Caenorhabditis elegans: one gene and its partners. The protein of the gene in region 2 purifies or fractionates together with the protein of the main gene of each other region. This does not show direct contact. Each region holds a gene or a part of one and is shown on either strand. Other genes may lie near its edges.

Region 1 (4,858 bases), on a different chromosome or scaffold from region 2:
ACAACATCACACGACTGGTCTTGTCTGGAATTCGGATCCCGGTGCGACTCCGATGTGTAACAGGAAAAGTGGAGGAGCTCCAACGCCGCCGCCACCACCACCTCCACCAATTTCATTGATTGCGCCTTCCAAGCCTTCTGGTGTCGGTGCTCTACTGGAATCTCTCAATACGGGATTATCGGCTACTAGTCGTTTGAAGAAAGTCACCCCTGAAATGCAAACTCACAAAAATCCGGTACTTCGTGAGGTAAATGGACAGATGAATCGAAAAACTGAAGAAAGAAAGGTGAGCGAGAACAAGAAACCGGAGAAAATTCACGAATCGAGCATTTTCTGGGATGGAAAGATTTGGAAAGTTGATCATCAAGTTGGTAATAAGAATGCCGTCGTTGAAGTTACGGATAAGAAGGAATCGATTTATATTTACAAGTGTAACGATTCTATTATCAAGGTTAATTTTTATTCGATTATTTTTTCGCAATTTCACACAAAATGGCCGGTTTTTCAAGGCTTTTATATTGAAAATCAGTGTCAAAATATATAAAACCTTTTTAATTTTTTAAATTTAAAAATGTAATTTATTTCAGTTTAAAAAATAAAAACTCGGCCACTTTTATGCTTTTTCTCAGATGTTTTAAGTGGAATAAATTTTATTTTCAGATGAAACAAGTCATTTTTGACACTAATTTTTAAGTTAAACAAATTGTGGCTATAAAAACGTAAAATTTTCGGTTTTCCAGAAAATCGAAAAATTTATCAAATTTTGTTAATGTTGATGGAAAAAAATAAAAAGAAAACATATACATTTTTTTCTGAAAAGAAGAAAATGACCGAAATTTTTAGATATTTTTCGAGAAATTGAAGCTTTTTCGAAATATCTGAAAAACTAGAAATTGAAAAGAAACCAAAAATTCCAATTACGGATTTCCTGTTTTCCATTTCCAAAGAAATTTTTAATGTTTCGAAACTAATATCTTTAAATTCTGGTAATTTTTCTGTTTTTTTTTTAGATAAAATTGATATGTTTTCTTATTAGTTTTTCATCAACATTAACAAAATTTTAGAATATATATTTATGTTTGATTTTCTGAAAATTGTTTTCTTGAAAAAATTCGAAAAAACCGACACCCTTTTCGAAATATCAGAAAAACTAAAAATCAAAAAAATATGACGAACATTTTCTGTAAAACGAATTTTTTTTTCGATTTATTAGAAAATTGAGAAACTGACACCCTTAATTCTAATGGATAAAAAAATTTATCAAAAAAGAAAGTCTAAAAATTAAATTACAGATCAAAGGAAAGGCCAACGCAATTACATTGGACGGATGCCGTAAAACTTCAGTCGTATTTGATGGTCTTGTTGCTCAATGTGAAATCATCAATTGCCAATCAATTCAAATTCAAACTCTCGGAGAACTTCCAACTGTTTCGATTCAAAAAACCGATGGATGTCATATCTATCTGTCACGTGATGCTTTGAATGCTCAAATTGTTGCATCCAAATCCAGTGAGATGAACATCTCCGCGATGTTGGAAGATGGAGACGATGAGTACACGGAAATGGCATTGCCAGAGCAGTTTATGACGAAGATTGTTGGAAAGAAGCTTGTCACTGTCGCATCTGAAATTGTATAATTAGCTTTAAAGTTTTAATGCATTCTCCGAATATCTCCCTACTATCCCTCATCTCTTCCTCCTGCTGGATCTCGTTCTCCTATCAAAAAATAAATTATTTTCTGTGATTTTTCTCGTTTTTTAATTTGTTTTGATTAACGCTGATTATTAATGCTTCAAGATATTGGAATATTTAGGAAAAAGCAAATAATCTGAAGCCACTTTCCGAACATTACAGGTGCAAAATGGCGATGGTAATCCCAGCTCGCAATCAAATGGCTTCACAATTTTTAGAGTTACCCAAAAGGACTTCAAGCTTGATGGTTTGATTTTTAGAAATTTTTTGTTTGGGAAGAAATTTGGCTTTTTCGATTTTTTTTTGTTTGAAAAAAAAAGTATTTTGGAATTTTTCGTTTTCTCTCGATTTTAAAAAAAATCTAGCTTTTTCGAAAAAATAGCTTGAATTATATTTTAGATTTTCCAGTGAATCAAAGAAAAAATTCGCTGAGAAATTGTGAAAAATTATTTTTCAAAAATTGAGAAATTTATGAAAACATTGAAATTTTTGAAAAATAACTAAAAATTTTGCTATTTTTCTTTTTTACAGAAGAAATTTGTTTTATACGAAAAGATGCGCGCCTTTAAAGAGTACAGTAAAGAGTACTGTAAAACTGCTGTAAGAGTACTGTGTACTTTAAAGAGTAATATAGTACTCATCAACATGAAAAAAATTGTAACAATTTTTGAACTCAAATTTTTTTTCCGATTTTTTAATTTTTCGTAATTTCGACAAAATTCGATAAGACAATATAAAATTTAAAAAAATTTTTTTGGAATTTTTCGAAATCATATTTTCAGAAAATCGAAAAAACCGCCACCCTTGTTAGAATTACAAAAAATTGCAATTTTTCGACACAAAAAAATAAATTTCAGGCTCCAACAATGGTTCTTCAAGGACACGGAGGAGAGATTTACACGTCCCAATTCAGTTCGGATGGAAGTTTTCTTGCTAGTGCCGGATATGATCAACAGGTTTTTTGAAATTTGACGTTTTTTACATCAAGAATACGGTACCCAGGTCTCGACACGACTGGTGCTTTGTAAAATGCGAAATGGTGTGTGCCTTTAAAAAGTACTGTAGTTTTCAACTTTTGTTGCTGTGGAGTTTTTTTTAAATAAAAATTAAACTAAGAGCTTTTATTGTTATATTTGACTTTCCTGATAAATAAATATATTTCTTTTCGTAAAAATTATAAAAATTCGATGAGAATTCCGCAGCAACAAAAGTTTGAAACTACAGTACTCTTCAAAGGCGCACACCTTGTCGTGTCGAGACCTGGTACCGTACTTTTGACGTAAAAATCGCTTCCGTGTAGCAATAGAATAGCGTTTCACTGAAATTACACTTATTTTTCATTCAGATCTTCCTGTGGAATGTGTTTGGCGAATGTGAGAATTTTGCAGTTCTCAAAGGGCACAAAGGAGCCATTATGGAAGTGAAATTCAACGCGGATTCGAGGTTTCTTTTCTATTTTTATTTTTCTGATTTTCAGCGTCCAAAATAAATCCCGAGGTTTTATTTTCCGTCAGTTTTCGGTACAATTTTCATGAAAATTTGGAGATTTTTTCGCGTTTTGGACGCGGAATTAAAATAGATTTTATTGAAAAATCCATCCAAATACCCAAAAAAACTTTTCCAAAATTTCAGTCATCTTGTATCTGCTGGAACCGATAAAACCGTTCGTGTCTGGGATATGGAAACCGGTTCGTGTATTCGAAACTTCAAATCTCATACCGATATTGTCAATTCGGTTGATGTGAATCGTCGAGGTCCTCAAATGATTTGCTCAGCGTCGGATGATGGAACTGTCATGGTATAAAGATCTTAGTTGACACGAAAATCGGATTTTTCCAAATAAAAATACATTTAAAAGAAATTGAAAACTTCCAATTTTAAAATTTTTCTCAACTTTTTTTGATACAAAAAATATATATTTTAGCCACAAAAAAACGAAGGATTCTAGAATTTATATTGTGAAAGGAAATTTAAAAATGACTTCTTTTTTTGAAAAATTTGAAGTTTGAAAGACGTTTGAGCAAAAAAATTTCGCAAAATATTTCGTTGATATTTTTTGAGCCATATTCAATAACAGAAATTAGGTGCTTGGAAAGTTTTAGATTTTTCAAAATTTTCAGTAAGAGTTTTGGTAAATTGTCAAAATGCGAAATATGTTGTAACCCTAAGTACAGTTTTCAAATAATAATTAATATTAACATAAAATAGTTCTCGTTAAAAAAATTTTTATCGACTTTAAAAAATTACGATAGGCGACAACTAAGTAATTGCCACTTTTTTAACAGAAATAAAATATTTCTAAATAATTATTGGAAATATTTACAATGTTTTTATGCAATTTAAATCGAGCTTTAATAATAAAAAAAGTGAAATGAAACTGTCAAATTAAATTATTCGAAAATCCTGAAATACACTCTTATAATTGTGCAATTAAAAATCTTAAATACCACTTTTAAAATTCCATAATAAATTTTAAGTTTTTTTTTTCATTGAAACGAATATTTTCAGGTTCACGATATGCGGAGCAAGGAAGCGGCGAAAAAGTTTATCTGCAAATACCAACAGACGGCTGTCACGTTCAACGATGCCGCGGATAATGTTATTTGTGGAGGAATTGACAATCAGATTAAGGTTTTTTTTTTTGAAAATTTTAACACAAGGGTCTTCACAAGAAATTCAAACCCTGAACCCATGAAAATGCGGTTTTTTCATTTAAAAAAAATTTATAAAAGTTGTTTGAATGTAGAAAATAAATTTGGAAGATTTTTGAAAAACTGTGTACTGAATAGCCGCTGAAATTTTTGTGGTGACCGAGTTTAACGAAATAATGACGTCACATTTGAAAGTTCCGAAAAAGTGCAAACATAAAGACTATTGTAGAATTACGACTATAGTCATTACTACAATAACCCTAATAGATTCCATTTGGCTCTTTTCCATTCATTTGCCCTCCAAGACCAATTCTAGTAAAACGAAAGTGGAAAGGAAATGAAAAATCTGTCGCTCAATCCTTTTTCATCCAATTAATACATGGATGACGAATTTCCGGTTATTTAAGAAATATTTTGAAGAAGAAGGTTTCTGGAACTAATTGAGAATTGGTTTTGCAAATTTGTAATAAATTCACTTTTTAAGATTTTTTGAAATTTTAGGAAATTTAGAAATT
Region 2 (3,737 bases):
CCATTTTGGTTTGATATACGTAGATCTACAAAAAATGCGGCAGACTTTTCAACTGATTTTGCATGGTTAAGAACGTGCAGACGTCACATTTTTTGGGGGCGAAAATTCCCGCATTTCTTGTAGATCAAACCGTAATGGGGCAGCCTGGCACCACGAAAATTATTTTTTCAGCACAAAAGATTTTAACTTGACTTCAAAAGGTTTTAACAAATCATTACAGTAAAAAACACTTGAAGTAGGCTCCGCCTATATCTTGGCTTTCAAAAAAAATTTTTATTTTTATTCGCATTTTCTTCTCACTTAATTTCAGTTCTCTTGAAGTTTTCAAAATAATTATTTTTTTAATTAATATAATAATTTATGCCTGAAATTATTTACCTATTTTTTTGAGGAGTTGTCGAACTTTGAAATGGTTTTAAAAAACATTGCAGAGCGGAGCAAATTAGGAGCAAATTTTTATAAACTTCAATTTTTAGTAATGAGAAACAATTTTTAAGGGTGGACTACCTCAGGTTTGGATGACAAATTTGGCAAATAAGCAAATTGCCGGTTTTCCAATTTGCCGGAAATTTTAATTTTCGGTAAATTGCCGATTTGCCGTTTGCCGAAAATCGATTTGCCGGAAGTTTTTAGAGGAATTTTTTATGAGACGGAAACCCTTAAAACTGTGCCTTTTTGGAAAATTTTTCCCTTTTTCTTTAGATATTTTCATAGAATTTACTTACTTTGCGTGCAATTTTGTCGATTAAAATTGAAATTCTGAAATTTTCAAATTTTCGTCATTTGCCATTTTTCCGTCAAATTCGGCAAGATTTGTGTGTTTCACTTTCGGCAATTTTAGCCGATTTGCCGCAAATTTTCAATTCCTCCAGTTTGCCAATTTGCCGGAAATTTTCAATTCCGGCAATTTGCCGCATTGCCGGAAATTTTCAATTCCGGCAATTTTCCGATTCGCCGGAAATTTTCAATTCCGGCAATTTTCCGATTTGCCGGAAAAAATCATTTGCCGCCCGCGATTTTTTTTTGAATTCCCGCGTAAATAAAAAACCTAGTTTTGGTATTGCTGTGCTCTCCAACTATATTAATTAGTTTTTTTTATTCCGGCAAATCGGCCATTTGCCGGATTGCCGGTTTGTCGATTAGCCGGAAAATTTCAATAATTTTTTTTCCAAAAAAAAAATTCCTTAGGAAATTGAAATTTTGTTAATTTTCTTTTTTCATTTTTTTACCCAAATTCCCTAACCTAAATATTCCCGATCAAAGTGCATACAAAAAAACGGATCAATAATTCTGATCCAGTGGTCCAGTCACACCAAAACGTTTGACCGAGTAAATACACTGCTGCTGCAGTAATGTTTTTTCTTCTTATTATTACTGCGTCTCTACGTGACTTGGGTCACTCTCCGATTTTTTAGGTGTCTTTTTGTTTCGTCCCATTTTTATCAGTTCACGTTTATTCCACGTGTCACATAAATTGAAGGTTTAATCCTCTTAATTTCAATTTTTGGTCGCTGGAATTTTGCGATAGTGAAACATTTTAAGCTTTCATTTTCCCCATTTTACTTTGAGTTTTCTGAAAAGTGTCAAAGTGTCCCATTTCGGTGTGATCTACCAAAAATGCAGGAATTTAGACGCAGACTTCTCAACAAATTTCGTATGGTTAAGAGTGTGCTGACGTCACATTTTTCTCTGCAACAAAGTCCCGCATTTTTTGTAGATCACACCAAAATGGGACTGTTTGACGGCACGTGTAAATTCTGAAAATTACCTGTTTTGCTTGCCCGATTTTTCTCCTTTTTGCGGCCGTGTGCTTTTTGCCAATTTTCAATATTTTCATTTCCAGAGCCCTCTCTACCATCATGGCCTCAGGATTCATCGAAATTGCAAACAAGCAGGGTCTCACCGCGACTCTTCTCCCGTTCGGTGCCACGTTGGCAAAATTAACATTTCCGGACAAAAACGGAAAGAATCAGGATTTGGTGTTAGGATTTGACACTATTGATGGTAAGATTTTTGTCTAAATCTAAGCCTTAGTCTATGCCTATGCCTAAGTCTGAGCCTAAGCCTAGTCCTAAGCCTAAGCAAAAACCTTCTTTTCAGAATTCGAAAAAGACGCCGCCTCTATTGGAAAGACTGTCGGAAGAGTCGCGAATCGAATCAAAAACTCGACATTACACTTTGACGGGAAACAGTACACAATGACGCCCAACAACGGGCCGCATTATCTTCACGGCGGGCCCAATGGACTGGGATATGTAAGATATTGAGCCTGAAATTATTTCCAGGATTTAATTCAATTTCAGAGAAAATGGGAAGTAGTCCGCCACGCTCCAGAGTCGGTTTCCTTTAGCGTTCGGGCCAATGAGCAGGATGACGGGCTTCCTGGCGATGCGAAAATTGATGTGAGTTTTTTAAGCGCCTACACTTGGTGTCAGAGTGTCTCATTTAGGCTTGATCTACGTAGATCTACAAAAAATGCGGCAGAGTTCTCAACTGATTCCGAATGGTTAAGAACGTGCTGACGTCACATTTGTTTGGGCAAAAAATTCCCGCATTTTTTGTAGATCAAACCGTCTAAACAATTTTCCAGGTAACCTACACTGTAAATGACCGTAACCAGCTCATCATCGAGCACCACGCGACATGCGACACCCCGGGCCTGCTCGCTCTCACCAATCACGCCTACTGGAACCTAGACGGCTCGGATACCGTCGCCGAGCACTTTCTGGAGATGGAAGCCGACGAGTTCGTGGAGGTGGACGATACGTTCTGCCCAACTGGAGCCATCCGATCCGTCACCGACACCGGATTCGATTTTCGGAGTGGGAAGCAGCTGAAAGAGTCGGGGAAGGACGCGGAGGAGTTGCTGGATTTGGATAATGATTTAGTGATCACTAAGAAGACCCCGCCATCAACTCCATCGACTTACTTGAGATTTTGGAGCGAAAAGTCTGGAATTGAACTTTCCATCACAACTTCTTACCCGGTTATTCATCTCTATGCGTCGAAATTTTTGGATTGTAAAGGCAAAAAGGGGGAGCATTACAAGGCCAACAAGGCGTTGGCAATCGAGCCACAATTCCACTCGGCAGCTCCAAATTTTGTAAGTCATCTTGTTCTTGTAAAGTGTTTTAAAACAAATATCTGAATTTAGGATCACTTCCCCGACGTCTCTCTTCGCCCGGGAGACCACTACTGTCAGGAGATTGTCTACACATTTTCTCATGTTAATTGATCAATTTGTAAATTAATACTGTATTTATGAATATTTTCTGCTTTATTTCTTTTCCTCTGCCGAAGCCGAAGCCTAAGCCTAAGCCTAAAAATTAGCCTAAGTTTAGGCCTAATTAGGCCCACGCTAAAGACTAGACCTTAGCCTAAGACTAGATAAGCCTAGTTTTTATTACTTTCATAGTTTCTGCGTTGCTCTATGTAGCTGTGGATGTTGACTTCTAACACCTGGTGTTGTTTTGATATTAAATAATAATTTTTGGCAATACCTTTCTAGCCTATAATTACATTTCTCCTATAGCCTAGAAAAATTGTTTCAAAACGTTTACGCTTTTTGGCACATGGAACCCCTGCAAACAATTTCTCGAGTCTATTGGACAATATTCTTTTCTATTTGTCTGTGTCTTCACTCTTCAATGTTCCTTTTGATCTACTACCGCACAAGTCGAACCATCAGAAACTTACGGTGGTTTTTATATCCTTCGAACACGGCCTCTTTCGTACTT
Region 3 (3,907 bases), 1.6 Mb from region 2:
AATTATTCACGTACGTTATGATGTTAGACTTGTTATTCAATTTTTGCAGACATATTGCCTGTGCGAATCTGACGAATTAGTGAATTGTTTTGAAGATCGATGTTCTACAGGTATTCTGTCTGAAAACGACTCGAGAATTTAATAAATCAAGGCGGAGAGTAGCGCCTGAACACCATAGTAAAACTTATAAACAAAGTTTTTATTTTATAAAATATCGCTTCAAAAAAAGATAATCAATCAGTTTTTGCGGTTTTTCTTAGAATTTGTCAATTAAAAAATTTTTTCAAATTTTGTAGTCTACTTATATTTCTATTATGAATATTTAACAATTGCGGGGATTCGAATATAGGATTGTGCTGTAGTTTTTTTCAAAAAGTGACAAAAAATGCGCAAAAACCATTGTAATTAGATTTTGGTTCAAAAATCCTATGAGTAGAAATTAAAAGTTTTGCAAATAATTGCTGGAGCTACAAATTATGAAAACTTGACAAATTTAGCCGGTTGCCGCACAACCCTGTTTAACACCTCTCGACGTCCTGCGAAGGCTTAAGTGTTTATTGATGAGTTGCAAAGCCCTGAAAATGTCGGCAGCTTCTTTGCAAGTATCAAACTATCTACGAAATTTAAGTTATGGGAAATCTTTAATTTACAAAATTTCAAATTACACATTTTCTCATCGAATATAAAAAAGTTAAGTGTATGTTCCCAAGAACAATGGAGAATTGTCTTTGATAATTGCAAAAAGGAAGGGGTGATCGACACGAATGTGAAGAGGTTCATCGCTGCTGGCGGAGGTGAAGAAGATCTTGGCTTCGGTGGCAGCAGCGGCTCGGGTTCCGACTTGATCTACCTGGAAATGAAGATTTAAATACCACTGTCAAGATAAAAGTTTCTAAAAAAAATCACCTCAATCAGTGCCTGATGTGTAGCCGACGCCAGCTGAAGCCCCGGCCCGATTCCAGAAAGATCAGCCTGTTCTGTGAACAGCTCCGCGAGCCCGAACTTGGCGAGGGCGGTTTTCAGATTTATCTTATAGTCCATCTTAAATTTGGGGAAAGTCAAAAAGATGTACTCTTGATAGACATTGTTGATAAGATTATGGAATTTCGCAGCGTTCAGGGATTTCAGATTTTCAGCCAAGGCGAATCTTCGCGTTGGGAGGAAAATGGCAAACCATGCGGATTTGTCTTTGAATGGGATACCAATAACCTGAAATTAGATAGTTTTCAGTTTTTTGCTGAACATTTTTCAGCTAAAACCTGCCACTCATCATCCTTGTTATAAAAGTAGTCTCTGGTCTCGCGGAGCATTGGGACAAGGCGATTTTCAGTAGCAGAAATAGAGAAGTTGGATTCCGCGGGTTCCCCGAATTTTCGACGCCAATCGCCTTGGAAGAAAATTGCATTGATGAGAATTGCGTCGACGTCTAAAACTGTTAAAAGTTGTTTCGGAAAAAAAAATCTAAAATTATCGTTTTTAGATTTTTCGATTATCTGATAGTTCAAAAAAAATTTTTTTGAGCCTGAGCCTGAGCCTGAGCCTGAGCCTGATCCTGAACCTGAACCTGAGCTTGAGCCTAAGCCTAGGCACCTGGATGCCCCAGCAGGCATTCAAGTTCCTACACTCAAATCTCACCTTTCAAATTGTCCGGCTTAATCATATCAGGTATCTTTCCTTTGGTACTCTCCGATATAAACTGGTTCATTATTTTTGCGGCTTCCTGAGACTTTTTGAAGTCGATTGTTGCCGTTTCAGCGTTGTAATGCTCGCGGAGCTCATCGGTAAAAGCTTTTCGAATTGCTTGTTCTGGCCTAAAAATTGGATAATCTGAAAATTTGCAACACAACTACCAAAAAAGATTTGAGAAAAAGTTAATTTTTCCGTCAGAAAACTCTATTTTTAAGTTTTGATTTTTTTTTTCGAAAACCCGAAATGATTGATAGACCAGGAATATGCTCAAATACTTTTTTAAATCTTAAACGTACTACAACAAATATTTCCACTACAGAAAAAAAACTCACGAAACAAATAGTCTGTTGGCAATCAAAGTCTCCACATCGTTCACAGAACTATTCAAAAGTTTATTAATAAAACTGAAATGCTCGATAAACTGCTCATCGGTGCTCCCATTCACCACAGAGTTTCGGATGTCATGTCTGGTATGTCCCTTAGCTCCAAGATGCACCAGAGCCAACGATAATAGAATAGACACCGGGGAGAAGACGCATGGTGTGAGCTGGTCGGAAGTTAGATCTGATAGCAGTTTAATACCAAATTGAGCCTCGGTAAATGTAGAATTTATGAGCGAAAAGCTCATAATTACACGATCAATTGATGTGGTAGATGCTTCGGAGAGAAAAATAAAGTTCAAGGTAAAGTGAACAGCTGGTATGTTACACAGGAGTTTGGTTTCGGAGGGGAGGAATCGAGTTTGTTTGTTGTTTGTTGTTGTGTCGGCGTGAAATTTCGCAAGGAATTCAATGAAAAGAATTCAATTCAAAAATTCAATTCATTGTGCGATGACACCTACTTCACATTGAACATAAATCTACTTTTAAAAATTTCAACTACTTAAATTCCAATTGTCAATTTTCCAAGCTTTTCCCTTATTAATTAAAAAAAAACCTATTTCTTCAAAAAAATTTAGACGGAAAATATTTTTTTTTTTCGGGAATACAAATTTGGAAGTTTTCCCAAAAATGGACAGAAATTAAGGTTTTTTTTTCTCATTCTTTATTACGTTTTTTCTGTTATTTTATGCCTACGCACTAGACAGCATTCATAGGCATACACGGAAATTAAAATGGTACTACTTGGTGTTTCTAATCACAAGAGTTGCCACATGATACGATTTACTCTCCCAAACATCGGTTGAAGGAAGTTTTGTTTCAAAATATGCATCTTAACAGCACCTTAATCCTAAACTTGTCAGCGGTCTGCGCAGTTCTTATTAATTTCCTTTTGATTGTTTTAATTCTGAAAAAATCCCCAAAATCATTGGGCTCATATAAGTTTTTGATGCTTTATATTAACCTTTTCGAGTTCTCCTACGCAATTCTATACTTTGCAGAAAAACCTGTAAGTTGTGGGATCTGCCGCAGCCGACAACTCACGGGTTTCAAGATTTAAGTTTAAAAAACCAACCCGTGGAATGTCGGTTGCTCCCATATTTCTCTAACTTAGATAAAATTATTTCCACAGGATCTCTTCACCAAAAAGTCTGCATTCTTTTTGATCGTTAATTGGAAGGAGTCTATTTTCCCAGCAACCATGTCATGTTTAATGGATCGTAGGTACCCCCAGTTTTCTGAAAATCTTAATAGTTTTTCAGTGCTTTTCGTCGGCTTTTTTGGAACGTCCATGTCAATTCTAGCTCTTCATTTCATTTATCGATTTTTCAGCGTCACAAAGTTAGTAATATTTTTCAAATAAAAAAAAAAAACTCCCAAATTTTCAAATATGTTAAAGAAATTTTCAATTTCAAATTGTTTTCAGCAGTCGCTACCTTAAAATCTTTGACTCATGGCTAATTATTCCCATTTTCACAGTCCCTCTTATCAACGGCGTCCTCTATATGATTACCGGTGGTATTATTCTGTCGGCTGATGCGGAAACGGATCGGTTCATGAGGTCTGAACATTTCAGAAATTCTGGTGCTTATTATCATGACTTTCAGAGAAAATTATCTAAAAGTAATTAAAAATCAAACAAATCTTGAAGACCTCTATTACATGGGCCCGTTTTTCTGGCCGAAACTTGAAAATTCAATAACGGAAACGTATTTTAGTTGGAAAGGTGCGGAAGGCTCATTGATAGTTATGGGGTCAATTGTGAGTTTATTTGTAAAAAAAACTGTAAAAAATTGTCAAACATTTTAGGGTCTCTCTAGCTCGATCATGATATTCTT

What was found.
Region 1: the proteins of Y19D10A.16 (region 2) and snrp-40.2 fractionate together in Caenorhabditis elegans (co-fractionation; one large-scale study listed by BioGRID). This does not show direct contact.
Region 3: the proteins of Y19D10A.16 (region 2) and srp-1 fractionate together in Caenorhabditis elegans (co-fractionation; one large-scale study listed by BioGRID). This does not show direct contact.

Annotation. Positions count from the first base shown.
Region 1 is NC_003279.8:4,191,387-4,196,244, forward strand, and holds the start of snrp-40.2 (WD_REPEATS_REGION domain-containing protein), read left to right. Parts: upstream 1-1,854; 5' UTR 1,855-1,861; coding exon 1,862-1,939; intron 1,940-2,549; coding exon 2,550-2,648; intron 2,649-3,037; coding exon 3,038-3,135; intron 3,136-3,324; coding exon 3,325-3,490; intron 3,491-4,200; coding exon 4,201-4,323; intron 4,324-4,858. Other genes in the region: cas-2 (C-CAP/cofactor C-like domain-containing protein), read left to right, coding at 1-451, 1,293-1,637.
Region 2 is NC_003283.11:2,390,913-2,394,649, forward strand, and holds Y19D10A.16 (Aldose 1-epimerase), read left to right. Parts: upstream 1-1,859; coding exon 1,860-2,004; intron 2,005-2,100; coding exon 2,101-2,255; intron 2,256-2,303; coding exon 2,304-2,402; intron 2,403-2,590; coding exon 2,591-3,103; intron 3,104-3,154; coding exon 3,155-3,235; downstream 3,236-3,737. Other genes in the region: srd-75 (Serpentine Receptor, class D (Delta)), read left to right, coding at 3,573-3,737.
Region 3 is NC_003283.11:751,768-755,674, reverse strand, and holds srp-1 (Serpin domain-containing protein), read right to left. Parts: upstream 2,393-3,907; 5' UTR 2,318-2,392; coding exon 2,022-2,317; intron 1,812-2,021; coding exon 1,636-1,811; intron 1,427-1,635; coding exon 1,260-1,426; intron 1,210-1,259; coding exon 907-1,209; intron 851-906; coding exon 692-850; 3' UTR 551-691; downstream 1-550. Other genes in the region: str-262 (Seven TM Receptor), read left to right, coding at 2,896-3,078, 3,202-3,289, 3,332-3,410, 3,496-3,630, 3,677-3,830, 3,879-3,907.